Pelodiscus sinensis: one gene and its partners. The protein of the gene in region 1 purifies or fractionates together with the protein of each later gene. This does not show direct contact. Links are inferred from orthologs where the notes say so. Each region holds a gene or a part of one and is shown in the gene's direction. Other genes may lie near its edges.

The links.
Region 2: the proteins of SNRPB2 (region 1) and GEMIN5 purify together in Homo sapiens (co-immunoprecipitation; 3 studies listed by BioGRID and IntAct, with this or other methods). This does not show direct contact. The link is inferred for Pelodiscus sinensis from reciprocal best matches to the Homo sapiens genes SNRPB2 and GEMIN5.
Region 3: the proteins of SNRPB2 (region 1) and SNRNP70 purify together in Homo sapiens (affinity purification with mass spectrometry; 5 studies listed by BioGRID and IntAct, counting the BioPlex papers as one, with this or other methods). This does not show direct contact. The link is inferred for Pelodiscus sinensis from reciprocal best matches to the Homo sapiens genes SNRPB2 and SNRNP70.

Annotation. Positions count from the first base shown.
Region 1 is NC_134713.1:180,793,975-180,797,716, forward strand, and holds the start of SNRPB2 (U2 small nuclear ribonucleoprotein B''), read left to right. Parts: upstream 1-1,477; 5' UTR 1,478-1,620; intron 1,621-1,855; exon of another isoform or gene 1,856-2,281; intron 2,282-2,375; 5' UTR 2,376-2,399; coding exon 2,400-2,463; intron 2,464-3,742. UniProt on the Homo sapiens protein: Involved in pre-mRNA splicing as component of the spliceosome. Associated with sn-RNP U2, where it contributes to the binding of stem loop IV of U2 snRNA.
Region 2 is NC_134727.1:38,193,338-38,197,079, reverse strand, and holds the start of GEMIN5 (gem-associated protein 5), read left to right. Parts: upstream 1-863; 5' UTR 864-931; coding exon 932-1,076; intron 1,077-1,712; exon of another isoform or gene 1,713-1,784; coding exon of another isoform or gene 1,785-1,833; intron 1,834-2,732; coding exon 2,733-2,887; intron 2,888-3,742. Other genes in the region: MRPL22 (large ribosomal subunit protein uL22m), read right to left, coding at 615-660, 747-762. UniProt on the Homo sapiens protein: The SMN complex catalyzes the assembly of small nuclear ribonucleoproteins (snRNPs), the building blocks of the spliceosome, and thereby plays an important role in the splicing of cellular pre-mRNAs.
Region 3 is NW_027465870.1:64,273-68,014, forward strand, and holds the start of SNRNP70 (U1 small nuclear ribonucleoprotein 70 kDa), read left to right. Parts: upstream 1-955; 5' UTR 956-1,109; intron 1,110-1,802; 5' UTR 1,803-1,815; coding exon 1,816-1,962; intron 1,963-2,123; coding exon 2,124-2,186; intron 2,187-2,703; coding exon 2,704-2,758; intron 2,759-2,914; coding exon 2,915-2,979; intron 2,980-3,074; coding exon 3,075-3,137; intron 3,138-3,742. UniProt on the Homo sapiens protein: Component of the spliceosomal U1 snRNP, which is essential for recognition of the pre-mRNA 5' splice-site and the subsequent assembly of the spliceosome. SNRNP70 binds to the loop I region of U1-snRNA.

The DNA of each region.
Region 1 (3,742 bases):
GTTTTCAGAAACTTAATAACCTTATTAACAAAGATTCATAGCAAAGCAACCCATAACAGTATCACCATCCCACAAAGATTTCACATCTCTCCCCAGGTGAGGTTTCCACCCCAATCAGCTCCTGGTTCCTGAAGAACAAAGAACAAGCGGCCCCTGCACATGTGGAAAAGGAGGCTACATGGCCAGACCAGGGATCCCATGCGATAGAGGCAGTCCCTCAGGGAGAGGGAGGCACTGTGCAGTGGTGGGGCACTGGGTGGCTGATAGAAAGTAAGTGACCATGCAGGCACTGAGCATGAGCAAGTGCCTGTCCTGTCTGGGAGCCATGCTGGGCTCAGGGACTACCCAGAAACAAGAGCGCCCATGCAGGAGGGGATGTGCATGCCGCTGCCCCTTTAAGCGCAATTAGTGAGAGCTGCTGCCTGGGCGAGAGGAAGGGGTGTTGGCTCCAAGAGGGGTGAATTTATGAGGTGCCAACCCATGGGTGGGCAGTGACAGAAACCACATGCCACTAGAAGCTGGCCCCAGCCAGCAAAGCTCCAGTGCAGCCGCCTATGCGCTCTGCGCGGGGGGAGATAGGGAGGAGGCTGCTGCTGCGGCGGCGTTGCACAAGGAGCAGTGACAGTGCATGGACTCGGTCAATTCTTTCCGCAAGCTGGTATCCCCATCAAGTAGTGAAATATCCAGCAGGGCTTTTTGGGACATTTCACTACTTGATGGGGACACAGAGACAGAGTATTTAAAATCAGGACAGTGTCAGAAAATCCGGGACGTATGATCAGTGTATACATCCAGCACTCCCACTAAAACACCACAGCATGGTATCAGCATTTTTCAAAGCATTACAGGAACTTGCTCTTGTTCACCCAGGCCCTTTCCTGACTGTTCTTCCACACCTGGTTGCTGTTTGTGTCCAAATGGGATTCTCTACAGGCCCCTATGCAGGAATTTCTGTGGGGGTGTATGCTTTGTTTGTAAATGTGGGCCACAAGGGTGTGGATATGCCCCCGTGTTTCCCAAGTAAGCGGGGAAATCAGCTCCAGCCTTCCCTTGGCTAGCCAGAGCATGGGGCAGCAACCCGCTGCTGCCTTCCTCTGGCCAGCCAGAGCATGCTTCTATGGGGTACCTGCTTTTTGCACCCTTCGCACCCTCCCCCCCCCGCATAGGGGCCTGCTCTAGGGCACTGCCCCACCAACTGGCGTGACAGCGCTGGCTCAGAGCCTTTGGGAAGAAGGGCAGGGGATGGCCGAGGCACAACAGCATCTGGGCAAGGACCAGAAACACGAAAATCACCCGGGGAAGAGCCTGGGCCGGCAGGAGGCCTCCTGTTGGCCCTGACGGAAGCGGTTCGGACGTGCTGCACCTAAGCCCGGCCCACAACTCTATGCAGTGAGTGAGACACGTGGGGCAACACGGGGACCGCTCGGCCTTCCACTCCCGACCTGGTAAGGCGGCGGCGCAGGCGTGCTAGAGGAAGGAACGCGCGAGGGAGAAGAGCTCATCGATGATTGGGCGCGCGATATATCGATTGTGCGAGAGATCGACTCTTGTCGTCTGCGTGTTCGGATGAGGTCACGCCAGCGCGCGGCTTGGTGCGGCGCTGAGACCGGTGGGAGCAGGGTGAGGGACTGGCCGCTGCGGCCCCGGGGCACCCAGCAGCGCTAAGCCCGCTGGGGGGCGGGGGAGCTCGCCTGGGTTCGCTTGGGGCTGGCCCCTAATGCCCATGGGCTGCGGGGGGGGGCCGTTGCAGCGGTGGGGGCGCTGGGTGGCTGAAGGAGGCCGCTGTTGGGGAGGGTGTCGGGGGCTGCGGTTGGCTTTGTGGGGGGGGGGGGGAGGGTGATGTGAGGGCCTCGCTGTTTACACGACGAGTTTGAACACGACGGAGCGTTATTGCTGAGGGGCAGTCCAGGGATTACGGGACATCTCTTGTCCACACGCAGCTTGGTGCTTTCTCGGCGGCTCCTCCCTCCCAGGAGATGGCCCTTTGTGGGCACATGGCCGTGTGTGGCTTTAGAGGGGTAGCAGCCCTGTTAGTCGGTAACGCTGAAAACAGCGAGTAGTCCCTCGCTCCCAAATATATATGGTATCCTGAGCTTTCATGGGCAAAACCCGCTTCGTGCCCACGGAAGCTCTTGATGCTATACGTATTTTTATTAGTCTTTAAGGGCTACTTGTTTTTCATATATGGTTTTAAAACCCCCATGTGATAGAAAGGGCTTCCTTTTTGCTGTGGAGCGAGGCAGTTCTGATACCATTTTATATAGCCTGATGTTGGCAACAGGTATTTGATCTAAACTAACAAAAACTCAATCTGTTATTAAGAATTCATCCTCATAAATGGAAAGTATTTTAATAGATTGTGCTTGTTTTTCTAGGCTGTTGTGTAAGCAAGTTAGAAGATGGATATCAGACCAAACCATACTGTTTACATCAATAATATCAATGACAAAATTAAAAAAGAAGGTATGGTTAAATTAAAGTTTGTATTTTTTTATCAGCATGTTGTGAAAACTCAGTAAAAGTATGGTATTCTGTCTTCAAGAGATATAGTCTAGACCAGCGTTTTCCAAAGTGTGGTCCACGGCCCAGTACCAGTCCTTAGGAAAAATTATTGCACACAATCTTATTAATTTGTGTGACGGGTAGCAGCACTCTGCACTGCCGAGTGAGGCGGCGTGGCCCTCTTGGGAGAGACCCACCGCCGTGGTATCTGCTGGGCATGCTCCCGGGCGGTGGGGCTAGATCTGACAGGTGCTAGGACCCAGGGAGAAAGCCGGGCACACCGATGCGGAATGCCAGACGCAGCCGGGGAAGCCGGCACCGGCCAATGAAGCAGCTGAGATTGGGGCCGGAGGGGGCGGAACAATCTGCCGGGTACACCGAGTCAGAATACCCGGCACCGGATGCAGCTGAGGGAGCCGGTGCCAGTCGATTAAAGTGGCTGTGATTGGGGCCGGAGCGGTGGAACAACCTACCGGACAGGTAGGGCCAGTGACACAATTTATTTGCATATTCATCATTTGCTTAATGAATATGCAAATATGTTACCAGTCCTCCAAAAGCTTGTGAATGGGTTTACTGGTCCCCAGTAGCAAAAAGATTGGGAACCACTGGTCTAGACATAAAACGTAGGCGTGTTTGTGGTATGGCTAGCCCAATGGAATCCCAATTACAGATGTTAGCCTATAGATGTGTAAACGATTAAGTCTAGGTTTATCAGTTCATCCAAATGACTACATGCAGCACCCCCTCCCTGCATCCAATCAAAGTGCTACTATGATTCAGTCAGGTACACCTCACAAATTATAACTAAGAACAGTTAAAAAAACTACCCTATCCAGAGAGATCATCTTAGTGGGCCACAAGATTGTTGTAACTGACATGGAGGACCACTCATGCAGCCCATTTGCTAGACTAGATGCCCATTGGTGACCTAACCACTATCTGCTCTTAGCATCAACTAGTCTTGTTTGGGCCTGCTGTTGCTCAGCTTTCTGAACTCAGAAGCTTCTGGTAGTACAAGCACTAACTTCCAGTGCCGCTGCAATCCTCTCCCTCGCCTCTATCAAGGCCTTGGTCCCACTGTACATGAGGATTGGTGGCCACCATATCCAAGTCCTTGGAATATTACCACAAATTAGACACTGCAGGGAAGTCAGGAGGACTGCAGGCCAAATCTAGACTGCCAGATGCTTTTGAACAGACCCATATATCCTATTGGGTATTTTTTTAATGTCTGGAA
Region 2 (3,742 bases), on another chromosome or scaffold:
ATGGAGAGAGTTTGCTGGATGCTTTTGGGAGTGGTGCAGGGTCAGTCCTGCCTTAGTCCCCTGCACCACCACCCAGAAGCCACCTGTGGTAAATGGTGCCCAGCTGGAGCCTGCATTCCCAATCCTGGCCCCAGTCCTGAACCCCTTCTGCACCCTAAATTCCTGCCCCCGGCCGGATAAAAGAGAGTGAGGCTGGGGGAGGGAGGACAGAGCGAGCAGGGGCAGGGCCTTAGAGAAGGGGGGGGAGGGGGCATCGGGGCCACAGAATACAAACCCCAACCTCCTCCCTCGGTTTTCTTCCCCTCCCAAGGGGCCGCCCCCCCCCAGCCCTGCACGCCCCTGCCCGGGGGACTGCCCCCCCTCTAGCCCTGCACGCCCCCTCCCCGGGGGACGGCCCCCCCCAGCCCTGCACGCCCCCGCCCCCGCCCGGGGGACTGCCCCCCCTCTAGCCCTGCACGCCCCTCCCCCCAGCCCTGCACGCCCCCGCCCGGGGGACGGCCCCCCCCAGCCCTGCACGCCCCCGCCCGGGGGCCCAGCCCCCAATAGCCCCCCCGTAGGAGCAGAGCCGCAGCCCCGGAGCCCGAACCTGCCCTGCGGGGAGACGCGGCTCGTACCTCTCCGGCCGGGTCCAGCTGAGGAGGCTCCGCGCCCAGGCGGCCCCTGCAAGAGCGAAGCGGGGCAGTTAGCGAGGACACGGCGGCCAAACCCCCGCCCGCCCCGCTCCCCTCCCCTCCCCTCAGACTCACCCGCCGCCGCCGCCATCTTCCCCGCTTCGCTTGGCGGCACGCGCCCCCCTACGCATGCGCAGGGCCCGCCGCGCGCCGGGGTCAGAGGTGACGTCGCGACCGCGTGCGGGCGGCGCTTGGCGGCAGCGCCTGGTAACGGTGCCTCCGGCGGGCGCGGCGCCTGGAGGGGCTGAGGCGCGGGGGCCATGGCGGCGGAGCGGGTCCTGCCCGCCTCCCCCAACTGGTACTGCGGCCGCTGCAGCGACACCTGCGGGGCCGGCCGCCTCTTCGGCTTCGGGGCCCGGAACAGCGTCTACCTGCTGGAGATCGGCGCCGCGCCCGCCTTCCACGGTAGCCCCCGGCGGGACCCGCCTCCCCCCCCCCCCGAGAGCCTGAGGGCAAGGAGCGCGCGGTCCTTCCCCCCCCCCCGAGAGCCTGGGGGCAAGGAGCGCGCGGTCCTCCCCCCCCCCCCGAGAGCCTGAGGGCAAGGAGCGCGCGGTCCTCCCCCCCCCCCCGAGAGCCTGAGGGCAAGGAGCGCGCGGCCCCCCCCCCCCGAGAGCCTGAGGGCAAGGAGCGCGCGGTCCCGTCCCCCCCGCGGTCCCGAGAACGAGCACGGGCCCCGAGAGCCTGGGGCAGGGAGCACGCGGTACTCTCCTCCCCCCCGCCTTGCAGTAGCCACGCGCCCCACCGCGGAGCCCGGGCACCGTGGGCGGCTGCAGGGCTCGGCTGCTCCCCGGTCCATGCTCGGGCGGGAGGCTAAAGCGCCCTCGGCCTCCGCAGGGCTCCCCCGGGGGGCCCCGCTTCGCCCCAGTGTAAATGTGCCTCGCGCCCGTTTTGCTCCAGCCCGCTCTGTGCCTGCGCCCGCGGGTCTGTCCCGCACGTGGGGTGACTCAGCCGGGGCCAGGCCGAGCTGGGGGGGGTCTGTACTGCAGTGAAACTGCCTCCCCCCCTCCGAGTGTGCTGGTTATTGCTTTTAATTCGGTGTAGGAGTGTGTTGAAGTGCATGGGATGTGAGACCCCGCTGTGAGAAACCAGCCCGCAGCCGCGATCTCCCAACTAATGTGGGACCTGTTGCAGAGCTCTCACAATCAGCCTGATTCTGAGAGAGGTGATGGGTTGGCTATTCTGACGCAGGCTTTGTCTACACTAGAAAGTTTAAAGTGCAGCTGAGGGCAGCACTTTAGTGCTGAAGTGTAGCTGCAGGCGGAGCCCTAAGAGCTCTCTCAGTGCACTAGGGCAGGGCTACTCAACTTTGGGAGCCCCGGGGGGCCAAAATGATACTTTGCATATGCATGCAAATAGCTTCTTTCACACTGACGGGCATGAATACAAAGATTAAGGCAAGACTACACTACACGCAGGCCCCATTAAAGTCAGTTCTGCTGCTATTCATAAAATGCAATATTTACCCCATTTCCACCCATATGACCAAGGCTTGACAAATAATACAATCTACTTGCCCCCGGAAGAGCTGGGTTTGAGCAATCAGCACCGTGGTTCGGCGAGCCCTGCATATGACAGCACTTTTAATGAGCAATGACAGTCCAGGAATGTAACTACTAAAACACATAGCAACAGAAGACCATTATATTGACTCGTCATTGTAGTGCGTGTTCCCGGTGGAGGCCATGTTCAAAGGATCCCACCCGCAGGCTGTGTGTCGAGCCCCACGTAAACCCAAACCACACCACAAACGGGCCACGTGTTGAGTAGCCCTGCTCTAGGTAAACCACCTCCACTAGGGTCATAGCTAACAGCATGGCTCCCAGCGCTGTAGCTCCGTTTACAGAGGTGCTTTACAGTGCTGTAACTTGTTGTGCTGGAGTGGGGGAGGGAATAGGTGTTTTCTCACACCCCTGATCCAGACAGTTGCAATGCAGTAAAATTCAAGTGTAAACTTAGTCTTAGACACTCTATCAAAAATATTTTTGTCTAAATTTAGAAAAACATTTGTGTTTCTGAAGCTAGAAAGTGTTGTGTGTAAGTCTTTTGCTTTTGTAATTGTAGGGGAACTGGTAGGCCATACAGAAAGGGTTTCTGGTTTCACGTTTTGTCACTATCCTGGTGAAAGCAACTTCTGTGCCAGCAGCTCTGATGACGGAACTGTGAAAATCTGGGATACGCAGAAGCTGACTCTTGTGACTGAGCATACACTGCATCAGGTATAGTAGCCAACCACTGTGCCTGTGAAAAAAATCTCTAAAACAAGGTTCCAAAATCTTTTCTTAGGTCAAGACAGAGTTGCACTAATTTCTCAATGCCTGTCAAATCGCTAGAAACCAAAAGAGATCCATGGTCCAATTTGCAAACTGAAACTGTAGAATAGATCTTTGAAAGCTGCATTTGTTTAAAAACTCATTTAAGTGACCTAATTTGCCTTTCTTATTGGAAATAGCAGAGGCACTGTATGTTTTGCTGTACAGGCAGTCCCCGACTTACGCAGATCCGACTCGCACTTACGAACGGGGCTTTCTCGCCCCGGAGGTCGAGGTGGCGGATTGCTACCTGCGAGCTCCGGGGCGAGAAAGCCCCGTTCGTAAGCTGCTCCGGTGCCCCTGGTCTGCTGGAGACCGTCTCCAGCAGACCAGGGGCACCGGGCGGGTTCCCGCGCTTCTGAGGCTTTGCTAGAGCAAAGCCTCAGAAGCGCGGGGAACCGCCGCTGCTGCCGCTTCAGTCCCGGTGCCTGTGGTCTGCTGGGGACCGTCCCCAGCAGACCACAGGCACCGGGACTGAAGCTGCAGCCGCTGCGGGGTCCCGCACCTCTGAGACTTTGCCAGAGCAAAGCCTCAGAGGCGCGGCACCCCGCTGCGGCTCTGCTCCCCGTGTCCCTGGTCTGCTGGGGGGGGGGGGAGCTAGTGTGCCCTCCCCCCCCCCAGCAGACCAGGCTTTTGTTTTGGACCCTGGGGCAGAGCAGATGGGGTGCTGCTGGGTTGCTGACCAGCACTGACAACAGGAAGCCCGAGGCAGAGTTGCTCTGCCCCGGGCTTCCTGGAATCAGCTTCTGATTAGTTTCAGCA
Region 3 (3,742 bases), on another chromosome or scaffold:
CCGGTTGCTATGGTGGAGGTCAGGGGTCGTGGCCCCGTTGTTATGGCGCAGGTGTTAATGCATCTGGGAACAACGCACACGTTTAGCTACAATTACGTAGCCAATCGTTAGATCGGCAGCTACAGCCATGAGCCGTGGATTTAACCGGGATTAGTACACCCGACAGATTGCAACTCAACTTTTCCATTGACCTCCACGCCAGGTACTTTGTACAAAATTTGGTACAACAATGGTACAAATGGCTGTTGTCAAACATACAGTACCATAACAGGTCGGGGTCATGGCCTGGTTGCTATGGCATAGGTCAGGGGTCAGAATCTGGTTACCAAGGTGCAGGTCAGGGGTCATGGCCTAGTTGCTATGGCATAGGTCAGGGGTCAGAGTCTGGTTGCCAAGGTGCAGGTCAGGGGTCATGGCCTGGTTGCTATGGCATAGGTCAGGGGTCAGAGTCTGGTTACCAAGGTGCAGGTCAGGGGTCATGGCCTGGTTGCTATGGCATAGGTCAGGGGTCAGAGTCCGGTTACCAAGGTGCAGGTCAGGGTCATGGCCTGGTTGCTATGGCATAGGTCAGGGGTCAGAGTCTGGTTACCAAGGTGCAGGTCAGGGGTCATGGCCTGGTTGCTATGGCATAGGTCAGGGGTCAGAGTCTGGTTGCCAAGGTGCAGGTCAGGGGTCATGATCCAGTTGCCACGGTGTACGTCACATGTCAGCATCTGGTTGCTAAGGTGCAGGTCAAAGGTCATGGCCCGGTTGCTATGGCATGGGTTGGAGTCAGGGTGCGGTTGCCATGGTATACGTCATGGGTCAGGGCCTGGTTGCTATGGCGCAGGTCGGGGGTCAACACCACGGCGCCAAGAGCGCCGCCGGCGACGAGTATTATGGTCTGCCTGGCCCGGGTTCGGGCGCTACTTTCCCTGCGGCTGCGGAGGGATCAAGTTCCATCTCCGCCCCTTCCGTCAGCGCGCGGCCTCGCGCCTCCTTGCCCCGCCCCGAGCGAGTCCCGGCCGCGCAGGGATTCGGACGCGGTGACAGGGACACGCATGCGCAGAGCGGGCAGGGAGCAGGCCCCGAGCAGGCGGCAGCGGGAAGAGCTGAGCGCGGCGCGGCCGGTGAGGGGGGGGTCGGTGAGGGCGGGGGGACCACGGGGTGGGAGGCGGGGCCGGGGGGGAACTGGGGGGAGCAGGAGGCGGGGGGACCAGTTGGGCGGGGGGAAGTGGGGGAGCAGGGGGCGGGGGGAAGTGGGGGAGCAGTGGGAGGGGGGAGGGGCAGTGGGGGAGCAGGGGGCGGGGGGAAGTGGGAGGGGGCGGGGGGAAGTGGGGGAGCAGTGGGAGGGGGGAGGGGCAGCGGGGGGCGGGGGGCAGTGGGAGGGGGAGGGGCAGTGGGGGAGCAGGGGGAGGGGGGGAGCAGGGGGCGGGGGGCAGTGGGAGGGGGAGGGGCAGTGGGAGGGGGAGGGGCAGTGGGGGAGCAGGGGGAGGGGGGAGCAGGGGGTGCGGGGCAGTGGGAGGGGGGAGGGGCAGTGGGAGGGGGGCAGTGGGGGAGCAGGGGGCGGGGGGCAGTGGGAGGGGGGGGAGCAGGGGGCAGTGGGAGGGGGCAGAGGACGGACAGGGCTGCCGAGGCGTTGGCTCTCCTGAAGGAGATGGGAGGGGGGTGCAGCTGGGAAGCAAAACCCCAGGAAATGAGGAGTTTAGCTGGCCCCTAAGCCCGCTGGGTTATGGCAGGGGCGGGGGGGGGGGGAGGACACACGTGGCTGGAGGGAGTGTGTTTGTTGTGGGATCTAATGATCTGGCCTCTCTTTCCTCCAGCAGATCTCCCAAGATGACGCAGTTCCTGCCCCCCAACCTACTGGCGCTTTTTGCCCCCCGGGACCCCATCCCCTACCTGCCCCCACTGGAGAAGCTGCCTCATGAGAAACACCACAACCAGCCCTACTGTGGCATCGCACCGTACATCCGGGAGTTTGAGGTGAGCTCACCCCCCAGTAGGGCAGCGCTGATGGGGCGGGGAGGAGCTAGCTGCCTCCAACCCCCCTTTCTCTACTGTAGAGCTTCCTGGCTCCTCCATTTCTGCCCAACTCTGCCACTCACCCACTCAATGCCCTGCTAACATAATTCTCCCCCATCCAGGACCCACGCGATGCCCCTCCGCCCACCCGTGCCGAGACCCGTGAGGAGCGCATGGAGCGGAAGGTATGGCCACCTGCTAGCATAGGGGTCAGCCCACCCTTCCCAAGGCATGGGAGAGTTATCTGGGTCGCCCCACAAATAACCTGCTTCACTCTGTGTGGTGAAGGGCAGAGCTGCCAGGTTCTCTTCTGGCCACCCTTGGGTATCCCTTCTCCTATATAGTCTGGTGATTGAACCTTGGGGCTGGGAGCCAGGACTTCTGGGTCCTCTCCCTGGCCATTCTGTTGTTAACTCCGTGTGAGGACTTTGGGAGGAGTGCCTGGTGTCCCAGCCTGTGAATTGGGAGAAAAACACTGCGGCGAGTAGCGAGGAGGAAGCAGTGAATTCGGCAGCACTTTGAGAGTCTCAAGGGTGCTCATGGCTAAGGCTTCAGAGCCCCCCTTGAGTCCCATCCTGAGGTCCCTCTCTGGAGCATCATTGTGTGGAGTCCAGTCCTGTCATTCCTTCCTTCTGAGGTCCCTCTCTGGAGCATCATTGTGTGGAGTCCAGGCCTGTCACTCCTTCCTTTTCCTTCCTGCAGAGACGAGAGAAGATTGAACGGAGGCAGCAGGAGGTGGAGAACGAGTTGAAGATGTGTGAGTGGAGGGTCCCGTCCGGGGGGGGGGGGTTGCTCTGACTCCCACCTCAGGGGCAAGTCAGCAGCTGGGAGGGTGAACGTGGGCTCAGGGTGGCAGCAGTTTGTTTCCCTGCTATCCGTTCCATGTGCCTATTCCTGATCTCTCCCTCCCCAGGGGACCCGCACAATGACCCCAACGCCCAGGGAGATGCCTTCAAAACCCTCTTCGTAGCCAGAGTGGTAAGTTCCTTCTAACTGCCCACCGCCCCATCCACGGGCACCTGCTTCTCCCCAACCCTGGTAGCAGCCATCTCAGCCTGTGCTCTGCCCCACAGAACTACGACACAACAGAATCCAAGCTGAGAAGAGAATTCGAGGTCTATGGCCCCATCAAGCGGGTAAGAAGCTGCTGCCCACAGGCCTTGCCTACAATGAGCCTCAAGTAGCCCGTCGGTCACAGGCCGAGTCGTGCCCAGGGAGACGTGCCAGGCCCTGGTGGGAAAACCCTGGCAGACAGAGTCCACTTACAAAGCCCCCTTGTTCCCAGTGCAGCAGATTGGCCCTGGGGAAGTGACAGGGTCTTCAGGACAGATGAATGCTAGGGTGGGGTGGGTGGTCCCCTTGACTTGGGAGTCTGCAGATCCCTTGGGTCGTAGCCTCTGTGGACTCCTGGACTCTGGCAGCTCAGTGCTGAGACAGTGGCTGTAACGCACTCTCGTGCGTGGGGTTTGGCCAGGTACCTGCAGGGCTACGGTGGGGATCAGCTGCACCTGGAGATGGGACGCCGGACAGGTCCCTGCTCAGGGGTGAACCCCAAAGCCCTTGCTGTGGGGCTTGTTTGCTTGCTTGGGGATGGGAAGTCCCCTCCATCCTTCCCCGGTCTGGTTGGCAGGGCCCTTGGGGGTGTTCCTGGCTCCCCCATTCTAGACCACTCCTCCCCAAAGGCTGTAATGAAGTTGGTGTGCCCTGCACCCCAGTTGGTGCTTGAGCTCCTCCCGCTGGC